Linked DNA regions of Ovis aries. The main gene of each other region encodes a partner of the protein of the gene in region 6 in a complex. Links are inferred from orthologs where the notes say so. Each region holds a gene or a part of one and is shown on either strand. Other genes may lie near its edges.

Region 1 (2,606 bases), on a different chromosome or scaffold from region 6:
CCTGTGGTGGATTCATGTCAATGTATGTCAAAACCAATACAGTATTGTAAAGTAAAATAAAGTAAAAATAAAAATTAAAAATTAAAAAATAAAATTTTAAATAAAAATTTAAGATTATTAAAAAAAAGAAAATAATCCAAAAAGAATATATATGTATGTGCATGCATGTATATAACCGAATCACTGTACTATACACCTGAACTAGCACAGCATTGTAAATCAGCTATACTTCAATAAAAAAAGATCTTTCTGAGACATTGTAGGGACAGTGCAAATTTGACTAAAAGGGACTGTTTCTTTTTAATTTGCCTCTGACTGTTAAGTCAAATGTTGAAATGAGTCCTAGGTTAATTGGCATTTAGATCTCTCTTGTTAAGTGTCTAGAAATTATTAGAAAGCTTTGTTTGTTTTTAAAATGTATATCTATATCATTTATAATAAAGCCTTACAGATCCTTAATGTCGTTGCTCTCACTCAAAACCCTTACTATTTTATATAGCCTTCTGCTTTCTTTTCTAAGGAGACGCTTGTAAATTTCTTGTCAAAAACATCACATCTGTCAGGATTGTTTTGTATACAACTGTAACCTAGATTTGATAATCTCATCAAAACAATTTGATTAAGGTAAATTTACGTAGAAAAGTTACATAGTAGCAATACTTGATTTGGCTTTTTTTAATCGTGGTTGTTAGAAGAACTCATAGATGTATTTACAAACACATAGCTGGAATAAAAATCTGGAAATGATTTCCAGCTTGTTTACATTGATCAGGTCCAGCTAGTAAAAAATACTTGCATTAAATGAAGTTGCCAGATTCTAGATTTTTGGTTCTTGCTTGAGGTTGAAGGTCATACTGCTTCCTCTTCATTACTGTATGTTGACTCTTTCATGGTCAATTCTGAATCTTTAAGTGATGTATTTTGTTGCTCTGTAAGAGACTTGCCTTCAGAATCATAGCCAAACCAAAGTGGAGGGTTAGAAGCGCTATATTCCTGGTGCTGAACTAAAGATGACATTCTTAAAGCTGCCTCCCTGTAATAACAGTGATGAGCATTAGCTAGTTGAAAAAGTAATTGCTAGTGCAGAATTTTCAAATTAGACCACATTTGGAGTTAAAGAACTCACTGTCACAACTCAAATTCACATCTCTTTGCCTTCCTGAGGGGGAGGGTGTGGGTAAATTGTGCTAATAATCAGGATCCCAAAGCTTCAGTAGCTCAGTAGTTCTCTGGTTCAATCAGTTCAAAGATTAACAGACACTGAAATGGGTAAGGAAATAGCATGGCCAAGGCGTGGAAACACTGAGGGCATTCTGTAGCTAGCACTCCTAAGTGAGCTCTCTGCTTGTTATTTGAGTTTCTTTGATGGAAGTATCCTAAGTAGGCAACCCGTGAAAGTTAGCTGTGCACCAGAGCAGGAGCTCCTAACCTAGAGTCCACAGATCCCTGTTGGATATGCAGATGAACTTCAGGAAGGACTCAGGGATTCCTTGAAAATTCATGCAGTTTTGTATCTACTATGCTTTTTTTTTTTTTTTTTTTTTTTTGAGGAGAGGGTTTGTGACTTTCATTAACGTCTCAAAGGTGTCCATGACCAAAATGATTAAAAATATGTGTTTCTTAGAAGGAAGCAAAGAAATCATCAGAAAGTTATTTGGAACCCCAGTTCCAACATGGGGTGGTGGTGTTCCCCACACCACTTAACAGTTCTAAGATACCAGCTGGCCATCCTATAATTCAGCCCAATTCTAACACTATATATCCAGGTATAGCATTAGATTCTGCAAGTTAAGGGCTCAGACCCACGGAAAACCTTCCAGATGTGTTTGTTACCTGGGCTTCTGATCTACCACCTAGAGCTGCTGACAGAAAACAGAGACATTTACTTACTGAATCACTGGTTCATTAAAGGATATTACTCAAGAACAACCAGGTATCAGAGCTGCATGGGGCAAGATATGGGGAAAGGATACCAATCTTCATTGCTTTCTACAGGCATACCACTCGCCCCAAATCTATGCATTCAGCAACCTGGAAGATCTTCAACCCTTTAGGGTTTTTATGGAGGCTTCATTATGTAGGCATGATTGATTAAATCATTGGCCATTGGTGACTGAGTCAACCTCCAGGCCCTCACTTCTCCCCAGAAATCAGAGGGTGATTTTTGAAATCATCCTGAAAATGTTTCACTCCTCTATTCAGGGTTGATTCCCTTGGCAACCAGCCCTCATCCTTAGGTGCTTTCCAGAAGTCACCTCCTTAACATAAACTCAGTTGTAGTAGAAAGGAACTTGTTATGAATAACAAGACACCCATATTTCACCTTGTGGCTCTGAATCAGTTTCAGAAACTGAAGATGAGAGACCAAATACTATGATAAAAGATTCTTCCATTGCTCTTATCACTCAGGAAATTCCAAAGATTTTGGGAGCTGTGAGCCAAAAACCATGGAGGAAGACCAAATATATATATAAAAGATAAATTTTGATCCTCTGAATGACCAAATATATATATCCTATAAAGCACAATATTTCAACATCAGAAAAAATAGTATATCTAACTTGAAAATAATGTCATTTCCAGGAGAGAAGGATTTTCCTGGGAAG
Region 2 (3,738 bases), on a different chromosome or scaffold from region 6:
AAGTTTGTTTTTTCTGATCACCCTAACCATCATTCCTCTACCTTTGTGCTCAGGCATCTGGAAAAGGAAGCAAATGTGTCAAATGGCCTGATGAACAGATTACTAGAAATAAATATGAGTTTTTAGAAGAGAACTTGAAGGAACTAGCTAAATATTCTGGTCCATTCACCTCCTTGTACGGGAGGGTGTTAGATTCTAAGGGAAAAAATAAGAACAGTATTCCCTGCAAGGGAGCTCTTTCCAAAGTTCAGATCAATTACTCCTACTTCTGGTAGAACTTAGTACATTAGTGTGTTTTTCATAATTCCATTCCATGATTCTTTAGCTATAAAAATGGTTGTGGAAGAGGGACAATGCTAACTAAATTTTCATCCCAGTGTTGTTACTGTAAAGCTCAACAATGTGAAGCTTTTAAAGAAGGAAAACATCCACATCAGTACCATAAGGTTTTTAAATATTTATCTTATGCAGGGCAATGGTACTGTAAAAATTTATGAGTTAGAACAACTATAATACTATAAAATGAAAAATTATTTTAAAGAGTCACATTCGTAAAAGTTATATAACTAACATATTCTGAAAGGGGCTTTTAAGCTCTATTAATCAGAATAAGAGTATAAACCTTTACTGTTTATATTTCTATAAAATCATAAGGAGGGCCTCTCTCTGTCATGTCAGAAAATTTTGTGGGTGAAGATCATAAACCAGATTAAAACTGGAGAAGTTTTGTTCTTTTATGTACTGGAATGGTGACCACTACTGAATGTTGTTTATAAATTTGTGTTTTTCTTTCTCTCTTGAGTTTCTATGATGGAAAAGTACCCTTTTTAAAGCCTGACGTAAATATCATTGAGAAAACTTTATCTTGTTAACTGAAGATATTTAGTGAGGTTAGTGTCTCTTCTGTACTATCTGTTAACAAACAATTTAAGAATTAGACTAATTTTAAGTGCACTGAAAGGTTTAGTTCTTGGGTTTCCAGATGTCTTTGCTTTTCATAAATTAATAAGGAAACTAATTTGTTGCAAAATTCCTATAATACCCATTAATGTTTTAAAATCACCCTAAAACTCATAGAATGTTAGTATTAGAAGGGCTCATTTAGTTAAAACTCCACCACAATTCATAAATGAGAAAACTAAGACTGAGAAAGTGAAATGAATTGCTTATTGCACAATTCAACCATAATGATCCTGTAACTTCAAATCCACTTTTAAAACCCTAATAAAAGTTTTGTGAATCCCGTTTATACATATAGCAGTAGTAATAATAATAATAATAATTATAAAATTGTAAGGGGCAATTAGAAGGAAATTTAATTTTCTAGTCACAGTAAATATGGGCTTCTTTTCTATTAGACATGAAAATTAATTTACCCTCTCATTTTTATAGCAAGTTGCATTTATCACAGAATCAGATATAATCTGTACAAATTATATAATTGTGTTAAACTTAATAAATATGTACTTAAAATAAAATGTAATAAAATTTGTACTTAAAAATTGTTTCTGGTTTAAGGGCTTAAGAATTTATGAAAGATTTTGCTCACTATCAAGTTGAGTTTTTTGATAACTCAGTGGTGCTTTGAGGGAGGAATCCATAACATCATGGAAAATGTAATGGCTAGTGCAATAATGCAGCTGGATATTGAGAAAAGCAGACTGCAACATATTTCGCAATGACAAAGTCATTTTAGATAAAAGAAATGTTGACAGGGTCCAGTTGAATTTCCTCCCCCTGGTGTTCAGTTAGCTTTTGTGCTGTTGTGCTTAATCGCTCAGTCCAACTCTTTGCAACCCCATGAACTATAGCCCGCCAGGCTCCTCTGTCCATGGGGATTCTCTAGGCAAGAATACTGGGGTGGGTTGCCAGCTGACAAATACCAATACAAGACAAGAAAACACAATTATTTATCTCCTCAGTATATATATTGTATTTATACTGACTTATCTATGGACTTTTTAGAATAACGCCAACATATCAGGAGAAAAGGATATTTTGTGAGATGTACCGTGAACTATGTCTATTTCACTCCATTAGCTGAGAGTACATATCTTAGATAATTACTGTAGCCCTTTACCTGACTAGAAGGTGCTATTGCCCAAGTTGAATTGAATGGCATAGGTACTGCAAATGATGGAGAAATAAAGAGAAAGCAAAAATTAAGTAATGGTGAATATATATACCATGCTGATGCTTTGTCTTTTTTCATACTGAACTGGCATGATATAGTTTAGAATGGAGAGCTGGTCTGTGGTGTCCTCCAGAACTGCAGAGATCCTCAGCACGTCTAGAATGGATAGCGGCTTCATGATTTCTGGGCTGATTTCTATGACTGCTTCTTTATCTGTTTCTTCCTTTTCTTCTACAGAAGTATTAGGTGGTTCTCCTGTCACTGACACCGTCACTTCAGAAGGCCAATCTTCTGGAGGAAGATTTGAGGCTTCCAGTTGACCTCTAAAGAAAGAAGGAAGGAAAAAATAAGTCAACCATCAGATGTTTAAAATCACTTAAATCCAAAAACACAGGCAGCATGTAGATGGGTTCCTGTAAAGTCCATTTTGCCATATACTCAAGAGAATGAATGGAAGTACTTTGCAGATGATTCTGCTTAATAACCCCCAGTAACATTCCGACTTCCCAGAGAAAAGCAACTCACTGTTTATTAAAGATGTGGACCCTCTGCTATTTGACTATGCTCAACCAATTTGAACTTGAGCCAAATACACTTTTTTTCTAGCAACATTTTCAGATGCTAACCAAAATTGTCTCATGGTTATGTTAACTGAAAGCTGAGCCTCTCTGTACACCGGGTGCCAAATCAAATCCTGGAGACAGAGTTTGGGGTGGAGAAAAGGATAGCTAGCTTTATTGCTCTACCAGGCAAAGAGGAACCTAAAACCATGTTCTGTCTCAAAAAACCAAGAGTCCCAACCCTAGAGAATTTGATGAGGGTCAAATGTGGGGTCTCTAACAAGATTAGAGTGTGGGCAGAGCTTGCACTTCCTTAATCTCATTTTAGGTGGTGGGTCTTCTAATCTTGATGAGCTTCTCTTGTCCCTTTCATCTTGCCTCTGGTGATTTGGCAAGATGAATTGATTGGGCTTCCCTGATAACTTAGTTACTAAAGAATCCACCTGCAATGTGGGAGACCTGGGTTCTGTCCCTGATTTGGGAAGGTCCCCTGGAGAAGGGAAAGGCTACCCACTCCAGTATTCTGGCCTGGAGAATTCCATGAACTGTATAGTCCATGGGGTTGCAGAGTCAGACAGGACTGGGCTACTTTTCATTTTCACTTTCCCTTGATTAGCTTCCCAGGTGACTCCTGTGGTAAAGAACCCACCTGCCAATGCAGGAGACATAAGAGGTGCTGGTTCGATCCCTGGGTAGGGAAGATCCCCTGGAAAAGGAAATGGCACCCCACTTCAGTATTCTTGCCTGGAGAATCTGTAGGGAACTAGGTTTAAAGAAGGTTGAGAAGTGCTTGCAAACGAGACTCTCAACCAGGGCTGGACATTTTTGCAAACGAGATGTTCTGCCCAGTGTAGGGAACTAGGTTTAAGGAAGATTGAGAAGTGCTTGCTAACGAGACTGTCAACCAGGGCTGAGCATTCTTGCAAATGAGATGTTCAGCTAAAAATCCTATTTGTTCCCATGGGAAAAGAACATTGCTTGCACACAAGGATGTTTCTCTGATTCCTCAAAAGGAACAGACCTTGGGACAAAACGGATTCTAAG
Region 3 (4,231 bases), on a different chromosome or scaffold from region 6:
TGCAATTTCTTACTACCCTAGTGCCCTTTTCCGAGTTTCTCTCAGGCCAGTAGTACAAGGTTCGATCAAATGTTATCCTGCTTGTTTTCGAATGAGTCTTAATGCTACATAAGAACGCGGTGCATTTTTTGTCGCAGTGCGACAATTGACACGTACAAAACACCCAGGAAATAGTGCTTTTCAAGGGACAGTAGTCCTTCGAAAGTTTAAATGTGCTTCTGTGCTCTTAACTTTCATTCCTCCCCCCTCACTCCCTTTCCTACCTGTTTTTCTCTGCTCTCCTCTTTTTTCTGTATGTGATTGCGGGTAGTAATGGAGGGAGTGCAGCCCTACTGAAAACCGCTACATAAGACAACGGTTCCTTGTTGGATATACATTTATTGATGGCAGGGGGTTTTCACATTCTAGAGACGATAGAGGCTGAATACACAAAGTAGGAGCTCAAACACTAATGGATGATGGGAATTCCTCCGCGGCTCAGTGGTAAAGAGTCCGCCTGCCAGTGAAGGAGACAAAGGTTGGATTTCTGATCTGGGAAGATCTCACGTGCCACGGAAGAACTAAGCCTGTGTGCTGCAACTATTGAGCCTGTGCTCTGGAGCCTGGAGACTGTAACTACTGCAGCCAGGAGCGGCAACTACCAGAGCCCTTGCGCCCCAGAGCCCTTGCTCCGCAATCAGAAGCCCATGCACTGCAACAAGGAGTAGCTCCCGCTCGCGGCAGCTAGAGAAAAACGCCTGCTGCAAAGAAGACCCAGCACAGCCAAAAGTAAAGTTATACATATTAATTTTTAAAAAGAATGGATGACAAGCAGGTGGATGCAATGTACTTTAGTTCAGAATTTCTGAGTGAACCTATTATTCTACCCCCTCCATCGAGGAAAAGACAACGCTTGGATCCTCGGAGCTAGCACAGTGATTGGCATAGAGTAGACATTGAATTACATTAGCTGAATACGGTGATTTTGAGGATTATTTATTTGATGGATGAATTAATCATAGGGTAGGTAAGTGATGAATCACAACTTGGTTCAGCTCTTAAGTCTTCCGGCCTCTGTTAATACCACCTGAGCCTTAGTGGGGGATTCAATACAGTCCTCACCGTAATTGCAGCAGAGGAATAAAACCCCAAGCTGAGACAACGGCGCTAAGAACACCAGTGCGCCCGGCCTTAGGGGCTGCGCGCGCAACCACGCCAGCTGCGGGTCAGGTGACTGCATTTCCCTGGCAACAGCTTTGTTGTTAGCAACCAAACTGTAGTCCCACGGTGGTCCAGGCAGGGCTGCCCGGGGGGCGGAAGGCACCTGCCATGAATCCGCCAGGATCCCTGGGGGTCCTGGAGGAGAAGGAGGATGAACATTTAGCCACCCCAATTCTCGGACCCTCCGTACATTCTGATAATCCTCAGGAGCGGATCCAGGCCCGGCGCCTGCGCATTGCGGCGCGCCTGGAAGCTCGGAGGCGGTGAGTCAGGGTTTGGGCGCGTTCTTCCAAGGAGCGCCCGGGGTGCAGGTGACCTGGGTGCTGGAATGAGGGGGTGGCTTCTCCAGGCCGGAGCCCCTGTGGTGAGGGGCTCGCGTGCCCTACGTGTGAGCTGGTCTTGCTTCTTGATGAGATAGAAAACTTTTCTGCCAGAAGGTTCAAACAAAGTATGTGATATTAAAGCATTGAATACACTTAGCAAAGTCAAAGATGGAAACAGGAATCCCTCCAGCACGTTCACGGAGAGCCTGCTGCGCCAGGCACTGTGGGCCGTACCTGAAGATGTTGGGGCTTCATGACCGGTCCCCCGAGATCGTTCTTTCCTCCTTGCCTCCCAGCGTGCCTTCCTTCCACAAGGGGTTACAGAGCAGACCTCGGCTATCACTTCTGTTGGTTTCAGTGGCTTAACTGGTTGTGTGACACAAAACCGTTTTCCTGCAGAGTCTGAGGCTGATAACTGTACCATTCTCAGGCTGGGGTTGCCACCCTCGTCCACTCACAGACTTTGTGGCCTGTCTTAAGAAGGGGGATCGAGGGGAACTTGCGTGAACCTGTGACTGCCTGAACACCGCACTGTGTGACAGCGCTTATACCTCGTCCTGCTGGTCAGGGTCAGCTGCCTTGCCAAGATGGTGCTTCTCTTGTTGTCTGCCGGTCTTTGGACACAAGGGGCCCAGAGTGATGTGGCTGTGTTCCAACAAAAACTTAACTTAAGGACACTGAAATTTGCATTTCATATAATGTTCGTGTGTCACAGAATATTCTTCATCTTTAGATCTTTTTTTTTAAAATTGATACACTTCATATTTTAGAGCAGTTTTAGGTTCACAGAAGAATTGAGTGGAAACTACAGAGGTTTCCCATTTACCCCCTACTTCTACACATGTATGAAGCTACCCTGGTGGCTCAGATGGTAAAGAATCTAACTGCAATGTGGGAGGCCTGGATTTAATCCCTGGGTTGGGAAGATCCCTAGAGAAGGAAATGGCAACCCACTCCAGTATCCTTGCCTGGAGAATCCCATACAGAGGGGCCTGGTGGGCTACAGTCCATGGGGTCACAAAGAGTCACACCCAACTGAGTGACTAACACGCACTCTACACATGTATAACCTCCTCCACTATCAATATTCTCCACCAGAATGGTACATTGGTACAACAGTTGGATCTTGATAAATATATAATGACATGTATCTACCCATCACAGTACTGTACTGAAGAGTTTCACTGCCCTAAAAATCCCCTGCACTCTGCCTATTCGTCTTGATCTTTTCAAAAAACCATTTGAAATGTAAAAAAATCATTCTTCACTCCTGAGCCATACAAAAGCAAGTGAATCAGATTTGGCCCATCAGCCAAAGTTTGGCAGCCCTGAGATAACAGATCAGTGTGATGCTCTGTGGGATATCCAAGTGGTCCTGATCTATCTAGACTCTAGTTTGTCAGCTCAGGAGCATTGACATGGCCCTGCAAGTATGAGGACTGTATGAGTGTGTATTATCTGTTCCTCCTCGATATGAACTTCCTAATCCTTTTTCCTGACTGAGGTAGAAATAGCATATTTGGCTCAATCAGTGGCCACATTCCAGGTACCTAAGGCCACACTTATATGTTCAAGCAAGGACCTGCATGACAGCTGCAATTAGGACTGCTGCTTGCTTGAGCTTGCAGTAATTGACAATCATTTTCTTGGCTCCATCCATCCAGTTTTTGCAGGGACCTGACCAGTGAATTAAATGGTGATTTGATAGGCACCACCACTCCCACATCTGTGAGATTCCTAATTGTACTGTGTGCTCAACCACTCAGTCATGTCCAGCTCTTTGTGACCCTGTGGACTGTAGCCCACCAGGCATCTCTGTCGATGGAATTTTCCAGGCAAGAATACTGCAATGGACTGCCATTTCCTTCTCCAGGGGATCTTCTCAACCCAGGGATTGAATCCACGTCTCCTGCATTGGCAGGCAGCTTCTTTGCCACTGAGCCACCTGGGAAGTCCTTGAGATCCCTAAGGGTGATGCTAATCCCTACCGTAGCCCTGGTATACAGTATTGCTTTTTGTGCACTTGGGTGCAGTTTTGGAGTGTCCATTTGACCTTCCATATGGCTATAGCTCTTACCCACAGGCCAACAACCTAGTGTGAGAATTTCTCAACTTTCTAAGCATGTTAAGATCACCCTTGTTGCTCTTTAGGGAATGGTTTGGAGGAACAAAGATCCTACATGCCACTTGGAGTAAAAAAACTCTGCCTTTCCAATGCAGGGGAGGCAGGTTCCATGGGGAGCGAGCTAAGATCCTACATGTACTCCCTGCATTGGAAACTCAGAGTCTTAACCACTGGACCACCAAGGAAATCCTGGATTGTGTTCTTTTTAGTATTCGAATTTTTATCCCTATGGAATATATTTTTGTATATGGTGAAATATACTATGAAAATTTAAAATTAAATCCCCCAGGCCATGCACAGCTCAGCAGAAAGATTTAAAAACAAAACAAAACAAAACAAGAAGTTAGGAAAAAAAGTGAAAGGTTTTACTTCCTAGAATTTAAACTTCATTTTCTCTACATTTTTTGCCATCCCAGGGAAGCTCTTGGAGAATATTTAGACGGGAAGAAGGAGAGTGAGGAAGATCAAAGCAAGAGCTACAAACAGAAAGAAGAAAGCAGACTGGTAGGAAATGGGGTATAAATGGGTCCCACCAGTCCAGTAGGACCCAGACGGAGGCTTCACTCTTTCTGTGCTGGGCCTT
Region 4 (4,489 bases), on a different chromosome or scaffold from region 6:
TAACCAAGATGGAAGAGAGCAAAAGCTTCCTGTTTGTTTGTTTGTTTTTTGTTTTGTTTTGCTTTGTTGCTTATTTAGAAGCTCATTTATTTATTAGCAAATAGTTATTCAGGACCTACCACACATTAGGTCTTGAAGATACGGAGGTAAGTAATTCAAACAGTTATATTCAAGCTTGCTTTCATTCTAAACATCAGCCAAACTAAGAGAGACTGTGTTTTGCTCGTGAGAGACATGTGGGCAGTGGGGAGTAAGAACTGTCTTTAGAGAGACCATTGAGAGAGGGAGGTGCAGTGAGAAAGTTAGGGCTTCTTCATTTATAACTAAAAGGTTAAGATTGGGTATTTTTTGCTATCCTGAACCTTCTGTTGCAAGTAGTAGAAGAGTCAGTGGGGGAAGACAGTATGAGAGCTTAAATTGCAGTTTTCTAAAGAAAGACCATTCTAACTCCACCCCTTCAGGCTGGACTACATCAGTGTGATCCTCTGAGAGAAAGTGCTGTGAGGGCAGGGTGTGCTGTGTGTGCGTGCTAACTCGGTTAGTGCTTGACTCTTTGTGACCCCATGGAATGGGGCTATCCAGGCTCCTCTGCCCATGGGATTCTTCAGGCAAGATTACAGAGTGAGTTGCCATGCCCTCCTCCAAGGGATCTTCCCGACCCAGGGATGGAGCCCACATCTTTTAAGTCTCCTGCATTGGCGGGCGGGTTCTTTACCACTAGGGCCACCTGGGAAGCCTACCTAACTGCTCCTGCAGGCCCTTCACTTCTTCCTCCAGCTTCCTGGTGCGACTCTGCATCGCCTCCTGCAGGCTCCGGCACTGACGACTCATCTCTGGCAGAGCCGTGGGTGGCCAGGGACCCAGATGGGGAGAGAGCAGTGGAGAAAGGACAGAAGTTGTGGGTGGGGAGGGCTCTGCTTGGTCCAGTGGACAAGTGCATAAAGGTCTGTTGAGGGCCTTCCCTGGCAGTCCAGTGGTTAAGACTTCACCTACCAATGCAGGGGACGCGGATTTGATCCCTGATCTGGAAGCTAAGATCCCATATTCCTCAGAGCCAAAAAACCAAAGCATAAAACAGAAGCAATATTGTAACAAATCCAATAAAGACTTTAAAAATGGTCCACATTAAAAAAAAAAAAATCTTAAAAAAAAAAAGTCTTCTGGATTCTTGTGGTGATCTGAGAAGGTAGGGACAGAGCTAGGAAATAAGACACCCATCCGCTATGGTAGCTCAGTATGTGAATTCAGGCCCTCCTTCCCACCCACTCCCACGGGAGGAGTGAGATAAAGGCTAGGGCTGCGTTTCATAGTCCACGGGACATCAAGCACAAAGCACTGCATGTCACGGAAGGTTCCTGCCCAAGACCACAGAAGGCCCCCTCAGGATTCCTGTGGGTGCAGGGAGGGCTGAGGCTAGGTATGGCGGTTCGAAGTCCTCCTTGTCTCCCTTTCTAGCATCCTTGGGCCCTCCCAGTTGTCCTCTTCCGGGCCCCTGTCTCCCGCCCACCTGCTCGATCAACCTCACACCTGCATATATGGCCTTCCCTTCGCTCCGGGCCCCCTCCAGTTCAGCCTCCAGGTCTTTGATCCTCTGCTTCAGCTGGTCTTCCGAAGCCTTGGCTCGGCGGGCTTCATCCCTCTGCAGAGCTGTGAACAGTCCAGAGCAGCCCTCTGCACTGGTTGGGGGCTCCACTCAATCAATCAGCCCCCATGGCCTTGATGGACTCTGTCCACCTTCAGAAACCTGGCGGCAGCCTGCCAGTCTCTCATCGTCATTCTGTTTCCCTTCCCCGCCTCAGAATCCTACAGACTCTGTTACTAAGAGGGAAAAACTCCCTCTGTGTTCCAGCTATAAAAGTTAGCTTTCTTTATCAACCCTCACGGCCCACCCTGTCCTCATGACCCCAGCTCTTGACAATCTTTTCCCATTAGGGGATGGTTAGAGATCAGCTCAGCCCTCCACCATTGTTCCAAAACTTTAAGCTCCCAGGGATACACAAATGCCCACTGTCTCTGTTGCCGAACTTCTACCCTTCTTACCCAAGCGGTCTTGGAGCACCTCCTTTTCCAGCAGTGCCAGCCTGTGCATGGATTCAGCCTCCACATCTGCCCTGGCAAGACAGCAGACCCTCAGCTTGTCAGGATCTCAGCCTTCCCTACCCTCCTCCCACCCTCCTCCCATACCCTGGACTTCTCTTTTTTTTGTGGGAGATACAAGGACCATTAAATGAGGGATCTCTGATAGCAAAGCCTAATGAGTTCACTACCCAGCTCACAGTAGGTATTTGAAAGATTGTAATGAATATACAAGGAAGGCACACAGCCAGAAGGGATTCATGGGTGCTGATTTTCCCATGTTCCCAGCTCCATGGCACCCGAATATGGATATAAAGGGGGAAGGCCAAGACAGCTCCATCTTGTCACGCAGAGGGATGAATTCTCTCTGGAGGTCTCTGAGCCAGAACAAGGAGAGGCTGGGAGGCACCCACCTCCACCCAGTCTGACTCACCAGCACCTGCATTTCTTTTCTTCTTCTGGGCCCCAGCTTTTGTCCCTTTTTCTTTGGTCTTAGGTGGCATCTCCTTCCTGTCCTGGAGGGAGGGAGGGGGCTCATATTTAGGTCTGGACATGGAGACACTCTCCTGACTCCCTAGACGGAACCAGGAGTCCCAGGAGAATTAGTGCTCTCATCTCCAAGTCTGTCTCTTACACTTTCCAGAAGCTTCAGTTCTTGGTTTCCTTGGAAACTTAGGCAAGGCTGGGGCCAGGGGGAAGGATGAACCCATTTCTCTCTACCAGTCAAGCTCTAAGTACAGAAATCATTCCTCTCAACCCTCTTTCAGAGAAAATAAAGCTCAGTACCTGGCCCCTTCTCTCTTCCCATCATCCTTACCCTGCCTCTTCCTTCCTCCAAGACCCTCACTTGTCTCTGTTGTATCTCCCTGTGGCGTGACCCACTTTCCAGGAGGGGCAGAGAAAAGGCCCAACCAGCTAGGAGCCGGAGGAGGAGATTGTGTTCTGGGACCCAATCCAGAGTGGCAAATTTCATTTGGGGGTGGGACTGAGAACTGGAAGGTTGGGCTTCTGGAGGCTGCACGTTGTCCAGGCAACTGGGAAACATGGAGCTGTTAGGAAGGTACATGCATGCTTGCTCAGTCGTTATAATTGTGTCTGGTAGAAGGGGCTAAATACAATGCTTAAAATACCAAGGTCTCAGAGGGCCAATACTCTTCTTGTCCCCAGATCCTAAGTGTAGTTTGAGGAGAGAGGGCTTTGGAACTGATTAAATATGATTCACTTCTATGTAGCACTGCCTGCAATTTGGACACTTACAAATTATAGATTTACACATCCAAAATAATGCTATTGCGCTGATACAGAGGAAAAGAACTCACGGTAGCCATTTGGGGTGATTTACATTTCCCAAAGTCTCATCAACAAAATGACATTATTAAATAGGCTTAAAATTGAAGATTTCAGGAAGGTATTCTACGGTGAATGAGGGAAAGAAATTCAGGAGATGGTGGTTGAGAGAGTTTCCTATTTCAGATAAATGAGACACAGAGGAGAGTTCGACCTAGGACCTCAAGGTGCTGTGCTAAGTCACCTCAGTCGTGTTCGACTCTTGCAACCTCTTGTGACCCCATGGACTGTAGCCCTCCAGGCTCCTCTGTCCATTGGATTCTCCAGATAAGAATACTGGAGTGGGTTGCGATGCCCTTCTATCCTGACATAGATGCAAATCAAGAAGAAAGGGTACTGGTTAGAGACAGGAGCTTTTGAGTTCTCATCCTTACCCTTCTCCAGATATGTAAATTTGGGTAAGTCATTTTCCTTGCTCAGCCTCAGTTTCCTAAATCTTTGATTTTGTAAATCTTGAAAGGCTTGGATTTTCACCAGGTATTTACAGGACTATCTTCTTTTATGGTGACTTAATATATTTCCTCTTTCTCCCTATTCCTGTCTGTGGTTGATTTTCAGACAGGTGCTGAGAAAATAACCAGCTTGGTTCCCTGTGGCATTGAGTTGATTTGGGCTCCCTCTAGTGGATTTTCTTGACCTTCTAGTAAGTCTCCTGAATTTTTCTATTTAAATTATTTATGGAGCAATGTTGGGGGCACCCCTCATTTAGGGGTGCTGCCTAGCATCTTGCTGGAGTCACGAATAGTTGGAAAAATAAATCTGGGGAAGGGAGAACGCTGAGTGGCTTGCCCTGGTTAGCTGTTCCCTCCCCGAAACCCCTCTCTCCAGCCTTTTGCTATTGGGAGCCTTTGCTGTCTGTCTGCCACCCAGATTTGTGAACACCAAAGTGGCTAAAATGAAAACAGCAGAAACTTCAGGGCTTTCCCCCTTGTGGATTTAGGGAACTGCAGACTCTTTCTTTAGATATTTCTCTGTCTTCCTCAACAGTTTTGGTCAATTGCCTGTTATCAAGAACAGATCTGAAGAAACAGCCATGAGATCTTGGGGGCCAGGGGTGCGGTGGGGG
Region 5 (4,404 bases), on a different chromosome or scaffold from region 6:
CTCCCTGAACTCTTCATCTCGGCAGTGCACACTGATAAACCATGCTGTGCTGTTCATTTGTGACAAACGAATACCCTGTCTTGTTATCCTGAGCTAACCCTCCTATTCTTGCCCTTTTTGTTGAAAGGAATTATTGTTAATGCATTCGTTTAATTCAGGACTCCCAGCCAGAATTCTAAAGCAAAAAGCCAGTCAGCATGAGGCACCTAGCATAGTAAGTGCTAAATAATAATCATTAGCACTCTGTCCTACCAGGCTGCACTGTCTTACTTGCCAGAACCCCTGTGGGAGGAGCCTACCTTAGGGGAGAAGACCCCTATCAGACCAGACGTGTCTGACACAGGCTCAGGCTCTTGTCAGCCCAGGCACAGAGACACCATCAGACCTCCCAGAGGCCCTGGGACTGCTATAAATGTCACTCTTTGTGCAAGTCGGTTGATACAGTCCCTCCAAAGGGCCATTCCTCTCCAGGAACAATTAAGTCTTGGGTGGGCAAAGAGGAAACCCCCAGGCTCTTTTTTGTGGCTCTCTTCCCTGACCTGAGCCTTTCTCCACTATTCACACTCTGTGCCCAAGGCAGTTCTCCAGGGAGAGAAGATTCCTCTCCATTCCCAAACTGACAGAAAAGCTTGACCTGCCGCAAAACCACTATTTCATAAGATGCTAATGTTGAGTGTGGAAAACAAGACAACAAATGGTGTTGTTTTGGGTATAGGTAGCTGGATGGTAAGAGGGATCAGAAATTCTCTCTGCAATTTGTAAAGCAGTTAGCAGTTTTCAGAGCAAGAGGTTAGAGGGAAGAAAACCCCTGAAGACTTTTTTTCCCTGCAGAGCTCGTCTGGAAGCCCGTAGCAAAGGTTTCTAGTTTTTCCTCACCAGGAGGACAAAGTCTCTTTAGGAAGAGCAGTTAGTTTTTGTGAAGGGGAGACTTGTTGATTTCAAAACTGTGGACCCCGCTGGAATATAATTTTCTCGCCTTACTTTTGCTTCCTCTGAGGCTTTGTGGAAATCCAGCTGTCTTCCAGCCTCAGGTGGGAGGAATCGTCAAAGGGGGGCAGGGTGAGGTGAGGCCCCAGAGCAGAGGTTCCGCGAGAATTTGAATCTAATTTGGGTAAAGTCGCGGTGTGGCCGCCTCCCCTCGCTCACTCTTTGAGTTCATGCACTGTAGGTCTTGTACCCACGTAGAGTACGTAACAAGTGGACGGAAACCGTTCCTCCAACCTCCGTGGAGCTTAACTTTTAGTGGGGAAGACCCGCAGTAAACAAGACCTGTCCCGAAAGGAATGCGTTCCCAGGTATCTTGGAGAGGTAGCTTGTGGATAATGTCCAGCTTCGGCCCAAATCTACAGACTCCGCCTGGTTAGTTGCTAAGGACTCCCGCCGTTGCGAGGCACCGGCCCTGCCTGCGGGGTATCGCGATGGTTCTCGAGACTTCGCGCGGGATCGTGCAGTCGTTGCCTGGAGACGGCGCATCCTGGGAAGGCCGGGCACTTTGGTTTGTTGGTCCACGCAGGCGGGAAACCACAACCATGGTGAGGCGGTCTCATAGGGTCCGCGCCGGAGCCCTAGGGCTCAGGGGTCGGCTGGCCTTGGGCGCTGGGAGTCCCCGGGACGGGAGATCTGGAGCTTTGGGGTCTTGGAGCTGCGGGCTTGGTGCTCTAGGGGGTGGGGGGCGGGGTGTCCTCGCAGACGCGGCTTCCCCGTGGAGCTGAGAGACTTGGTCTCTCCAGAATCTTGTACACACCCGGGTGGTGGTCAGAGAGCACCGTCTCTCCCGCCCCCAGACCTAGGGACTGGTGTGCACGTGTCCGGACCGGAAAACCTGGGTCGAGTGGCTACCCTACCTGGAATGGAAGGCTCATTGATCAGATCCTTGGGAAACAGAGGTCCTCCAGCCTCTGGGATCGGGAACCTGGGGTATACCATGGTGGCCAGAGGGTCCTGACAGCGGTTCCAGCGCACGTAAAGTCCCCAGGGCAGAGCTTGGGCAAACCTGAGAGGAGTCAGGCGGGAACTGAGCAGAGTGGAGCTTGCTGCCTCTGGGCTTCTCAGTCCCCACCCCTCTGTGGTAGGGCTCTCAGCTGCTCACTCCCCCCTGTGCTGTATGGGCTGTAGGTCACCCAGTTTCCAGGCAGGTGTGGCAGGGTGGCCATCAGTGCGGGGACCCCTCTGTGTGTGGGGGCCCCAGGGGCTCTAGAGGCCCCAACCACTGCCTTACTCCCAGATGCTGAGTAAGCTCCTGGGCTCTTCTGATGGGTTGGACTTCTTGGAGTAGAGGGTTAGAAAGAGGGCAGTGTTTTAGGAGTGAAGATTTCAGCGGTTCTGTCTTTTGCAAGTCAGCTGGGAAAAGATCACCAAAATACATCTACTTTCACTAACTTGAGGGAAATATGCATGATTTTCCTTTTTTTTTTTTTTTGTTACTATGCTTTCTAACATTTCCTCATAAACTTTTTTGGTAATAAAAATGTTACAGAGACGTGCAGATGCATGCCTCTTTATAGACAAAAGCATGAGCCACAGAAACTTGTGAGAAGTGAGGGCAGAGGATAAGGCGTTAGTTTTCTTTCTGTTGAGTGGCCCCTGGAGACGCAGTGGGGCAGAAGGTCCCCTCTGGCACCGTGGAGAAGTGGTTAAAAGCAGGCGTCACCGCACTGACAGAGCCCACAGTGTGTGAGTGCCAGTCTGTGCCAGCAGTCTTCACCCCCGGTCTCTGAGGCACCCACCTTGCGCCCATGGAGCGATATATTGCAGGTTTCTCTCTGGCACTTGCCAAGCACTATAGTCTGTGCTGCTGGGGATACTCCTTTGTGAGGCCGAGTAGCTTTTGCTCCACACCAAGGAAGTCTCTGCTGTATACAAGGAACATGTTCTCCCTCTTCCTTTCTGAGGGGAAGCAATATTCTCTTCTGAGAAGGGAGATTTCTCTTTGCTGTCCACAGAATATGCCTGTGGTTAAGGATGGGAAACCTTAGGGCAGAGTGAGGCGGCCCGGGTGGAAGCCTGAGACAGTGGGCAGTCAGATAGAGGTTCCAGGCAGAAATTCCTCTCCCGAATGGCCCTGAAAGGGAATGAACCAGCCAGAAGTGAACCCTAACCCGACCATGTATTCTTCAATCCAAGGCGCCCAAAAAGAAAGGGAAGAAAGGCAAAGGCAAAGGCACTCCGATTGTTGATGGGCTGGCTCCGGAGGACATGAGCAAGGAGCAGGTGAGCGGGCTGGCTGGGCCACGGCCCCTTGCTGGGGCAGGTGGGATGGGTTTGCTGCCCCACGCTGGTCCTAGGAAGTTCTTTTAGACTGCAGCACCCCGGCTCCTTGTCTGCTTCCCCTCAGTCTGGCTCCTGCCGTCTGCCCACACCAGGACATGTGAAACAATGCAGCACGTGTGATGGGTAAACTTTCCGCTAGGGTAGTAGGAACTTGGAAGGAAATGTTTTTCTGATATAAAGCTATTTTAAGTTTTCTTTCATTCTTACCCTTTTTAGGCCCCTACTGTTTACGGAGATGTTAATCATAGTATATACACTTACAGCATTCTCATTTATTTGATTTACCATTAAACACTGTGAGTTATTTTAGGCCGCATGTTCATTTCGATGACATTAAGAGCTAGGGAACATGATTTGATTAATTACAGTTTCAATTGAAAGGCTCCCAAAACCTATAACTTGCGCAACCCATGAGAGCAGATGTGGTCTGGAAGTGTTCATGACCCTTACTTACTTTTGATGGTTTTAAGATAAAAGAAATCAAGGGAGATTCAACAAGGCATAAGACCTGAAGATGGAGAGCTGGGCAGAGGCCCTTGAAAGTGGTGAACAGGCTCTCTTTCTCACACAGGGAAGCCATCGGCAGTCTGTAGAGGGTAATGAGGTCAGGCTGTGCTTCGAGGGGGTCACTGGGGATGCCTCATGGAGGTTGGCTTACCCGCTGTGTCACCCCAACAATCAGACTGTTTCCTGCCTACAGGTTTACTTCCTGTCCTGTGACACGGCAGGGGTCAGTCTGCAGAGCTTGGAGGCTCTCGGGGTCCAGGCAGTAGTAAGATGAGAGATTCAGGCCAGCTGTGGTCAGATCTGAATTTGGCAATAAGGAGTTCATGATCTGAGCCACAGTCAGCTGCCAGTGTTGTTTTTGCTGACTGTATAGAGCTTTTCCGTCTTTGACTTCCAAGAATATAATCACTCTGATTTCGGTGATGGCCATCTGGTGATGTCCATGTGTAGAGTCTTCTCTTGTGTTGTTGGAACAGGGTGTTTGCTATGACCAGTGCGTTCTTTTGGCAAAACTCTATTAGCCTTTGCCCTGCTTCATTCTGTACTCCAAGGCCAAATTTGCCTGGTACTCCAGGTGTTTCTTGACTTCCTAGTTTTGCATTCCAGTCCCCTATAATGAAAAGGACA
Region 6 (3,738 bases):
AATTCAAAATTTCACAGTCCTGTCCTGTTCCTGGACAAGAGAAGGGCATGGTTGGGGAAGGAGGGGCAACTCTCTGACCCCCCTGGTATCTGTGGACCCCCAGTCTCTGTGGACCCCCTGGGTCTCTGTGGACCCCCTGGATCTTTGTGGATCCCCACTGGTCTCTGTGGACACCCCCAGAAAGGTTCCTGCGAGCAGAGGGCTCCATACTTGGAAGGTGGTGCAGCAGCCAGGCCAGCAGGGTCAGCATGGAGACCTGGGGACCAGCCAGCTCTCCCGGTGCCCCCACGTCACCTTAGGGCCTCCCCCCATGCCAGACACAGGCTCCTTCCTCCCAGGAAAGGCAGCAGCTTCTCATTGGAGGGTGGCAAGTCCCCCACCTCCTCATACCCTGCTTTCATCCCGTCCTGCTGCCAGAGGCCTTCCCTGTCGGGCGGGGTTTTTTCCCCTGGGGGCAAAGCACCCACAAACTGGTCACAGGGTAAAGGGTAAAAAGCTCCCAGCAAGGGTATAGGACAGAGGCAGGGGTGTAGGACAGAGGCGGGGGTGGCCTGGCCAGGCAGTGGACAGGGGCAGGGCCTTCCACCTGGGGTGAGGCTCCCTCAGGCCAGAGACCCTGGCTCTGCTGCAGTTGAGCCCAGCTCTCTGCTGGCCACCTCGGCTGTGGGGTCCTGGGGGCATCCCTCTGGGGTCAGCGAGGTTGGCACTTTGGGGTGCTACCATGACCTGTCAGTGTCACTCCTGGGGTTGCCTGTTGTGGGGGTGAGTCCTGACTTTGCCCTGAGCTGCTGAGCCCACTGAGGGCCAACTCTCACTCAGTCTCCCAGACTTGTCCACGGAGAAGCAGACAGAGCAGGACAGCAGCAAGGAGGCGGGAGGAGGCCCAGGACAGGGCCCAGCCAAGAACGTGCACCACAGTGACAGGGGCCGTTAGGGTCAGGAGCCTCCAGGAGGGGCTGCTTTCCTCTCCTCCCGTGGACGTGGCCCTCCCCAGATGCCCAGGGCCTGGACGCTGACCCACAGAGCCCACATTGAAGGGAGACGCTACCATGTGGTCGTCGAGGCGCCGGAAGTCCAGGTACACGAGGTCAGGGAGGTAGGCGCAGATGAACATCTTGTAGTCCTCGTCCTCGGCCACCGGGTTCCCGGACAGGCTGAGCGTGCGCAGGGCCTTGAACCGCCGCAAGTAGATGACCTGAGGGGAAGGCGGGCCTGTGTGCTTTCTCCGCCCTCTGCCCACACCGGGAAGCCACGAGGATGAGGAGCCGTGGTCTTTGCCAGGGCCAGTGGATGGGGTCCCACGCTCACTGGGGACCCAGTCTCCCCATCTGTGAAGGGGCCGCAGGGGTGTCACACGCAGGTGTTGAGAGGACCCAACGCTGCGAGGAGCGCCAAGAAGAGGGCTGGCACCTGCTCCCCAAGCGCCCGCTGTCCCTCCACCCTCCACTCTCAGCACAGGCACCCTTTCCACCCGTCCGTGCTCTGAAAGGCCCTGTGCCCTGAAATTCAGCAAAACCTGAATCTACTGGGTGGCAGCTGGTGGGACCACCACTAACAACCATTTACTTTTCCTGTTGTTAGTAACGAGGGACATTCAGCAAGACCACCAGCCCCTCATCTGTTGCATCTCCTCCCCTGTGTGAAAGACAGAAGAGAAACCTGCTTCTCTTCCTTCCTGAAGGGATTTCCTTGTCAGTTGTTTATTTGTTCAGCAAACATCACTGAGCACCTGCCAGCCTGGGGACAGAGTGGGAACAGAGCCCTCAGAGCAGGAGCTGACACTCTAAGGGCAGGGGACAGGAATGCTTCAAAAAAGTCAGCAGAGGGACTTCCCTAGGGGCACCACAGATAAGAATCTGCCTGTCAATGCAGGGGACACAGGTTCCATCCCTGGCCCCAGAAGATCCCACCAAGCAGCGGAGCCCCCGCGCACCAAGGCCACTGGGCCCACATGCCTAGATCCCGTGCTCTGCAACAAGAGAAGCCACAACAATAAGAAGCCAGCACGCCGCATCTGGAGAGCAGGCCCGCCTCCTCCGTCTCCGCAACTGGAGGAAGCCTGAGGAAAGCAGTAAAGACCCAGAACAGCCAAAAATAAATGCTTTTTAAAAGTCAGAGACGTTGCTGTTGGTCATAAGCGCTCGAAGAACTCGAGGGGGTAGGTAGGGAGGGAGCCTTAGGGACAATGATAGGGGTGGGGTTCTGTTAGGATTTGAGCCTCTGAACTCTGAGGAAGCAGCAGGAAGAGCAGTGGCGAGTGTACTCCCAGGAGCAAAACCAGCACAAACGAAGGCCACGCCATGGGAAACGGCGTGACCAGTGCCAGTAAGCAGGGAGGGGCCAGGAGATCTGAGAAGATACTGAGAACAAGGCCAGCCCTGATTCATCTGAGACCTGGTGGGCGGCGGTCAGGAGTCTGAAAGCTGTCTTAGGGAAATGGGAGCTGTTGGAGTTTTCAGGGTATGTGGGGTGGGGCGGGGGGTCAGGACCTGATTTCATTTTAAGAGCTCTCCCAGTGGGATTCCAGTTTTTGTCTTTGGGATCATCAAAGCAAGAAAGGTCTGGGAGCAAAGTGTGCTGTGGGTGGTTAGAGGGACAGGACTTCTTGTCATTGCTGCTGGGTCTGTAGGTGGTTCCACTTCTGTAGATGGCCATGCAGCAAGACCCATCACAATGAGAAAATGCCCTCGGACCCAGCAACTCCACCTGGAGGAATTCATCTCCCACAGGGGCTCATCCAGGTGCACAGTCAGCCTCTATCAAAGACATCCCCAACAGCCTGTGTATGACGGCATGAGGTTGGAGAACACCTCAGTGTCCACCCATGGGGGCTGGAGAACTCCATCCTGCAGGATCTAAGCAATGGAATGTCCTGTGGTGTGTAGAGGACACCGATGACTTGCGGGGGGTGGGGGGGCGGGGATGACCCAAGACAGGCTCTGGAGAGTAGCCAGACAGGTGTGACAATCGTGTGAAACATTTAGACAGTAAGATGCCCGGAAAGACACATGTGCGATTTAGGAGCAGTTGCGGCCTCTGGCAGGGGACACAGGGGCAGAGGTCAAGGGCGAGGGGCTCTGCTCTGCGTGCCCTGAGTTCTGCTGAGTCAGCCACTTGCTTTTAATTCAGTGAACAAAATGAAAACAAGCCTAATAAATATATAACAGGAAAGTCTATAATCAGATATAAGAAACTCAGGGCAGGCAAGGACTGAAACCAGAGATGCTCTGGGCTTGTCGGCCATGAAGCCAGCGCCCCCTGCCTGTCTCTCTGGGGACCAGCTGCACCTGCTTCTCCTGTCTTCATGGGGTGGGGGGTGCGTGCCTGGCACCCAGCACGCCCTGGGGAAATGGGGACAAAAGAACAGCCCAGGCCAGGGAGGGAGGTGGGTGTTCACAGCAGGGTGGGGCACAGCCTGAGTCGGTTTCCCCTCCCTGCCCAGGCCTGGATCTGCTCAGGGCCAGGGCTAGTGTCTGAGGATGACAAGTCAGAGGCAGTCCACTCACATACAGGCTCCCAGGTGCTGGACCTACCCAGGCAGCAGCAGCTCTAAACACTCAGAAAGTTTCCCACAAGCATGATTTGGGGCTATTTGGGGTTTACCCTTAACTGAAAATTCCTGAATAAGCACCATTTCCTCCATAGCCCCTCTGCGCCCTGTCCTGCTGCAGCTGCTCTACATGGACAGACTTGACCCTCACGATGGCCTGTGGGGTGGACTGCTATTTGTCCTCAGGA
Region 7 (4,454 bases), on a different chromosome or scaffold from region 6:
GAAGACTTATTTGTGTTGATCTTCCCAAGGTTTGGTGCCACTCTCAGAAAGCACTAAGTAAAGTTACATTCTTACATAGCAAGGACACAAGAGGAGTGCAGTGATATATAACAAAGAGAAGTAGTTAACTCAAAAGTCTAGTGTTGCTAACATCAGAACTACTATATATCTTTTTCCATATCCCGTTTATATTGATTAATATCCTCCCAGGTGCCTAAAAGATAAAGAATATGGAGGCCTGGCAGCAGTCATTGAGTCAACAGCAAAAACCCTCTACCAATATAATTTTTAACTCTTTAGAAATGGCTCTGTATCTTTAAGATGCTTCTAAGCCTTGTGCCTCTCACGGTTGGGGGGCTGTAAGCAATTCACAAGAGGTCTGGGGAACCTGTTAGGCAAGCTAGAGAGCAATCAGAGGGGGTTTAACTGAAACATTCCTTTCAAATGCAGAAGACTAAAGCCCTGAATTGACTTTTTTCCAGAGAATATCAGAAAAGTGGAAAAGCAGAGTACAAAGGCTGGCAGATTTTTGGTTTTGGGGGGTACATGCTCAGGAAATGCCAGGGGGAACTCTGAAGTCTGATCACGACCTTGCGTATGTCAGCTTCCTTCCTCATGACCTTGTCACGGGCAGGATTCCTCACACTGGCTTCTGGCATTTCATGCCTTTTCTTTTTTGTCCCCATGCTATTTACTGAATGCTTTTTATTGTGTTAAATGTTTTTAGTCCATTCTTTTAATTATTCCATTGATTTTTAAAATATTTTTTGAGTGTTTTTTTTTTTTTTTTTTTTAGTGGTCGATTTAGGGATTATAATGTACACCTTAATTTATCATAATCTATTCTGGGATACTAAATATTTTCTATTTGATAGTCATTGTTATCTTGTCTTCTTTCAGTTATTTAAACATGGTTTCCTTTAGTTCTTTGATCGTATTTATAATAGCTTTTTTGAAGTCTTTGTCTGCTGAAACCAACATCTGGGGACACATAGAGACTGTTTCTATTGACTGCATTTTTCCCCTGAGTATGTTTACACACATCTCACAATTTTTATTGAACACTGGAAATCTTAGAGGGAAATTTTTTTTGGTAGCAACACAGTATTTTTTTTTCCTAATGATTGCTGTTTTTGTTTTGCTTGGGCATTTGGTAATTTACTTCCTGGACTAAATCTGTCAAGTCAGTCTCCTCCATGGTGTGCAGCTACTGATATCTCTGCTTAATTTTTTTTGCATATTTTTATTTTAAAACTTGGCTTCCTAGGGGTCACCTATGTATCCACATAGTTTAATATTCAGCCAAAAATCAGTCAGGGGTTGTGCTCACACTTTGAACCAGTAAGGCTCCTATTCTTGGATGGCAAGTACCCTATGCACTCAGTACACCTGTCTACACCAGGCTCCAAAGGCCAAGCATTTCTAAGTCTCTTGGGCCGGAGCAGGTCTCTGCTGCACATGCGCATAACCTCTAGTCAGTCAAGGTAAGACAGAGCTCATCAGGTTCCGCATGGATGCCGCATTCCCCAGAACTCCAAGTTTTCAGTGCACTGTTGGCGCCGAATAGAACTACAACCTTGGACTGCTACACCCGCTGGCGTTCCCTGTTCTCGTCCCACCAAGATTGCTACTTTAGCCAAGAGTCCTCCAAATCAAGTGAGCCCCATCAGACAGCGACAGTGAAGCTCTTGGTTTTCAGGGGGCTACCTGCCCTCGTTGAACTATTATGCCAGATAGAACTGAGTATGGGGAAATCAGAGAAGTCCCAGGTAAGTACAAAACAAACTTGAAGTTCGGTGGTTTTATGAATAAAAGCTCTCAGTTTGTTGTATGCCTTTGGCTGATTTTCAGAGTGCTAATTTAGCAATAGATGGTTTTGTCTAGCTTTATAGTTGCTTTGAAAAATTATTACTGTGTTAAAATATACATAAGTTCAGGGGTAAAGAATCCACCTTCAGTGCAGAAGACCGGGTTGGAGTCCTGGGTTGGGAAGATTCCGTAGAGGAGGGAATGTCAGTCCACTCAGGTATTCTTGCCCGGAAAATCTTACGGACAGAGGAGCCTTGGCGGGCTACTGTTCAAGGGTTTGCAGAGTCAAGACACAACTGAAGCGACTGACTTTGATTGAAGCAACTGAGCACTTATGCAGGCAACATAAAGTTTACCACTGTAACCATTTAAAATTCAGTGGCATTAAATTGTTACATTCATATCTATATGCAACCATCACCACCATCTGCCTTCCAGAACTTTTTCATCATCCCAAATTGAAACTCTGTACCAGTTAAGTAATAACTGCCCGTTTCCCACTCCCCCAGCCCCTGGCGACAACTATTCTACTTTGTTTTAGTTAATCCTTGCAACAAACCCTTTCTCTTGAGTATGTAAATGAAATTATATTTTAAGGACAGTGATGGAAGTTAAGGTCTAAAGTTATTATAGCACAAAAGGCCAACATTGGTACAAAGGTACATAATTTAAACACTCACTCTCATTGCATGCTCACCTTGGGATTTATAAGCTGTTGACAGAATGGTAGGGGACTTATAAAACTACTCTCTCACCCCCAACACCTATGTGTAACTTGAAAGTAGTTTAACTTAGCTGTGAGTCCACTTGACTAGTATCATCCACGTTTTACGGATGAGGAAGTGGAACCATGAAGTGGACAAGAGGAAGGGCAGAGTAGAGGCAGAGACACCAAAGAGGACGCCCAGTCGTCTTTGCAGAAGGTCGAGAGGGACGTCCAGACTGAGGCAGGGGCTGGAGATCAGGGTCCTGAGCTGGGGACGGGCTAGCGGTGGGGGGAGGGGGGACGGGATGCTGATTCCTCAGAGTGTCAAAAAGATAAGAGGACTAGATCCCATTCAACATCTCCCCATCATCTCCAGCCCTTCCCCACATGATCACTCACCTGCTCGGTGGTCTTTAAGTTTTTCTGTCCTTGGTTACCACAGCTGTTCCTGCGTTGCTAGGTTACCCATCAATCTCAGAAGGCGGGACTCGGTGTCTGATTAACTTTCCTTTTCGCCATTCGATTCCTTATTCCCCTCGGTTTGGTCCACCTCCTGAGGACTGACCAATCAGAAACAAGGTGTGTCTAACTCTCCACCAATTGGAAGAGCCGGGCGTCCCTCAGGGTTAAGCTGAACGAGTAAGGCGGGGAGAATAGGCGTGAAAGGGGCGGAGCTTCTTTGTCCCGCCTCTCTTCCCCAGGGAGGTGGGCAAGGAGGCTTGTATTAACTGGGGAAGGACGTAAGGATTGGCCAATCAGAGATCATCATGACGCCCGAGTTAGCCAATAGGGCGCGGCGAAGGGGGGACTGGGGCGGTGCCGGCCAGGCGAAGGGGACAGTAGGCGGCGGATGGGAGAGCTGGCGCAGCTGCCGTGGTGGCAGCGGCTGAGGTGGCGGTTTCTGCGGCGGCTGCTGCAGCTGCAACAGCTCCGGGCTCGGGGCTTTGGCGGCTGCGCCGGCGGGCTGTGCTGTGCTGTGCGGACCCCGGCGGTCGGTCCGGGTTGCTGGGGCGGCGCGTGTAAGAATTCGAGGCATGTGAGGGATGGTCAGAGGAGAGGGCAGAGGTCAAGGGGCAGGGGGCTCGGAGTGAAAGGTTGCGGCTGGGTATTTGGGTGTGGGAGGCGGGCAGGTCGGGCCAAGAGGGGTTGCGGGGAAGTTCATTGCTGCGCTTCTCTCCCTCCAGTCCTGATGTGGGGAGGGGGCCCAGCGTGGGGACCGCCCGAGGAAGCCCGGGGCGGGAGAGGGGGCTCAAAGTCGAACACGTGGAGTAGAATCCCGCACGCCTCTTCGCTCCCCTTTCTCTCTCAAATGCTCATCTCCCTGGAGCCCTCAGTCCACCCACCCTGCAAGAGACTCTTGCCCGGTCCGTCTGCCCGAGTGGAGCGCGGGACGGCCTGCCGGCTTTCCCTGGGACCTTTCCCTAAGGGGTGACCCTTCCATTCTGGGTCCTCTCTAGAGGGAGAAGCACTGTGACTTTAAGTAACGTCCCTTCTCTTCCCCGAGCCTCAGTTTTCCCTCTCTAAAATTATGGGTTTGAATTCAGATGAGGGGACTGGTCTGGGAAGAGAGGAAGGGTAATGGTTAAGCAGGGAGGGTGAGACTGCCTGGGTTGAAATCTGGGCTCTATTACTTCCCAGCGGTCTACTTACAAGAGGTCGGTTAATTTAACCCCTCTAAACCTCACTTTCCTCATTGTGAAGTGGGGACATCAGCTGAGTAAAATTTCCTAACAGCAACACTATTCACATATTGAGGCACATATGTCTCTGTTGTGATAACCCCCTCTGAGAGCCACAAAACTAATGCATTCATTACAAGCAAACAGTCATATATTATACAGTTAAAATAAAAGCCAGTAGCTACTATAATAACAACGATATAATTAGGAAAGCTCTTCTTGATGAGTTGAAAAGGTTAATAGCCTCTCCAGCCTTCAAA

What was found.
Region 1: DRC3 (region 6) and FBXL13 share a complex: the UniProt entries of both Homo sapiens proteins name them as parts of the nexin-dynein regulatory complex. The link is inferred for Ovis aries from reciprocal best matches to the Homo sapiens genes DRC3 and FBXL13.
Region 2: DRC3 (region 6) and IQCG share a complex: the UniProt entries of both Homo sapiens proteins name them as parts of the nexin-dynein regulatory complex. The link is inferred for Ovis aries from reciprocal best matches to the Homo sapiens genes DRC3 and DRC9.
Region 3: DRC3 (region 6) and DRC1 share a complex: the UniProt entries of both Homo sapiens proteins name them as parts of the nexin-dynein regulatory complex. The link is inferred for Ovis aries from reciprocal best matches to the Homo sapiens genes DRC3 and DRC1.
Region 4: DRC3 (region 6) and CCDC153 share a complex: the UniProt entries of both Homo sapiens proteins name them as parts of the nexin-dynein regulatory complex. The link is inferred for Ovis aries from reciprocal best matches to the Homo sapiens genes DRC3 and DRC12.
Region 5: DRC3 (region 6) and GAS8 share a complex: the UniProt entries of both Homo sapiens proteins name them as parts of the nexin-dynein regulatory complex. The link is inferred for Ovis aries from reciprocal best matches to the Homo sapiens genes DRC3 and DRC4.
Region 7: DRC3 (region 6) and IQCD share a complex: the UniProt entries of both Homo sapiens proteins name them as parts of the nexin-dynein regulatory complex. The link is inferred for Ovis aries from reciprocal best matches to the Homo sapiens genes DRC3 and DRC10.

Annotation. Positions count from the first base shown.
Region 1 is NC_056057.1:45,627,373-45,629,978, forward strand, and holds the end of FBXL13 (F-box and leucine-rich repeat protein 13), read right to left. Parts: intron 1,034-2,606; coding exon 850-1,033; 3' UTR 656-849; downstream 1-655. UniProt on the Homo sapiens protein: Substrate-recognition component of the SCF (SKP1-CUL1-F-box protein)-type E3 ubiquitin ligase complex.
Region 2 is NC_056054.1:191,034,611-191,038,348, reverse strand, and holds part of IQCG (dynein regulatory complex protein 9), read right to left. Parts: intron 2,458-3,738; coding exon 2,187-2,457; intron 1-2,186. UniProt on the Homo sapiens protein: Component of the nexin-dynein regulatory complex (N-DRC), a key regulator of ciliary/flagellar motility which maintains the alignment and integrity of the distal axoneme and regulates microtubule sliding in motile axonemes.
Region 3 is NC_056056.1:33,576,844-33,581,074, forward strand, and holds the start of DRC1 (dynein regulatory complex protein 1), read left to right. Parts: upstream 1-1,243; 5' UTR 1,244-1,308; coding exon 1,309-1,463; intron 1,464-4,064; coding exon 4,065-4,152; intron 4,153-4,231. UniProt on the Homo sapiens protein: Component of the nexin-dynein regulatory complex (N-DRC) a key regulator of ciliary/flagellar motility which maintains the alignment and integrity of the distal axoneme and regulates microtubule sliding in motile axonemes.
Region 4 is NC_056068.1:29,498,738-29,503,226, forward strand, and holds the start of CCDC153 (coiled-coil domain-containing protein 153), read right to left. Parts: upstream 2,935-4,489; 5' UTR 2,711-2,934; intron 2,592-2,710; 5' UTR 2,580-2,591; coding exon 2,510-2,579; exon of another isoform or gene 2,225-2,509; coding exon of another isoform or gene 2,185-2,224; intron 2,112-2,184; exon of another isoform or gene 2,107-2,111; coding exon 2,041-2,106; intron 1,672-2,040; coding exon 1,528-1,671; intron 990-1,527; coding exon 741-989; intron 1-740. UniProt on the Homo sapiens protein: Component of the nexin-dynein regulatory complex (N-DRC), a key regulator of ciliary/flagellar motility which maintains the alignment and integrity of the distal axoneme and regulates microtubule sliding in motile axonemes.
Region 5 is NC_056067.1:14,319,944-14,324,347, forward strand, and holds the start of GAS8 (dynein regulatory complex subunit 4), read left to right. Parts: upstream 1-1,469; 5' UTR 1,470-1,529; coding exon 1,530-1,532; intron 1,533-3,123; coding exon 3,124-3,210; intron 3,211-4,404. UniProt on the Homo sapiens protein: Component of the nexin-dynein regulatory complex (N-DRC), a key regulator of ciliary/flagellar motility which maintains the alignment and integrity of the distal axoneme and regulates microtubule sliding in motile axonemes.
Region 6 is NC_056064.1:34,294,547-34,298,284, forward strand, and holds part of DRC3 (dynein regulatory complex subunit 3), read right to left. Parts: intron 1,196-3,738; coding exon 1,049-1,195; intron 1-1,048. UniProt on the Homo sapiens protein: Component of the nexin-dynein regulatory complex (N-DRC) a key regulator of ciliary/flagellar motility which maintains the alignment and integrity of the distal axoneme and regulates microtubule sliding in motile axonemes.
Region 7 is NC_056070.1:61,298,209-61,302,662, forward strand, and holds the start of IQCD (dynein regulatory complex protein 10), read right to left. Parts: upstream 3,017-4,454; 5' UTR 2,915-3,016; intron 1-2,914. UniProt on the Homo sapiens protein: Component of the nexin-dynein regulatory complex (N-DRC), a key regulator of ciliary/flagellar motility which maintains the alignment and integrity of the distal axoneme and regulates microtubule sliding in motile axonemes.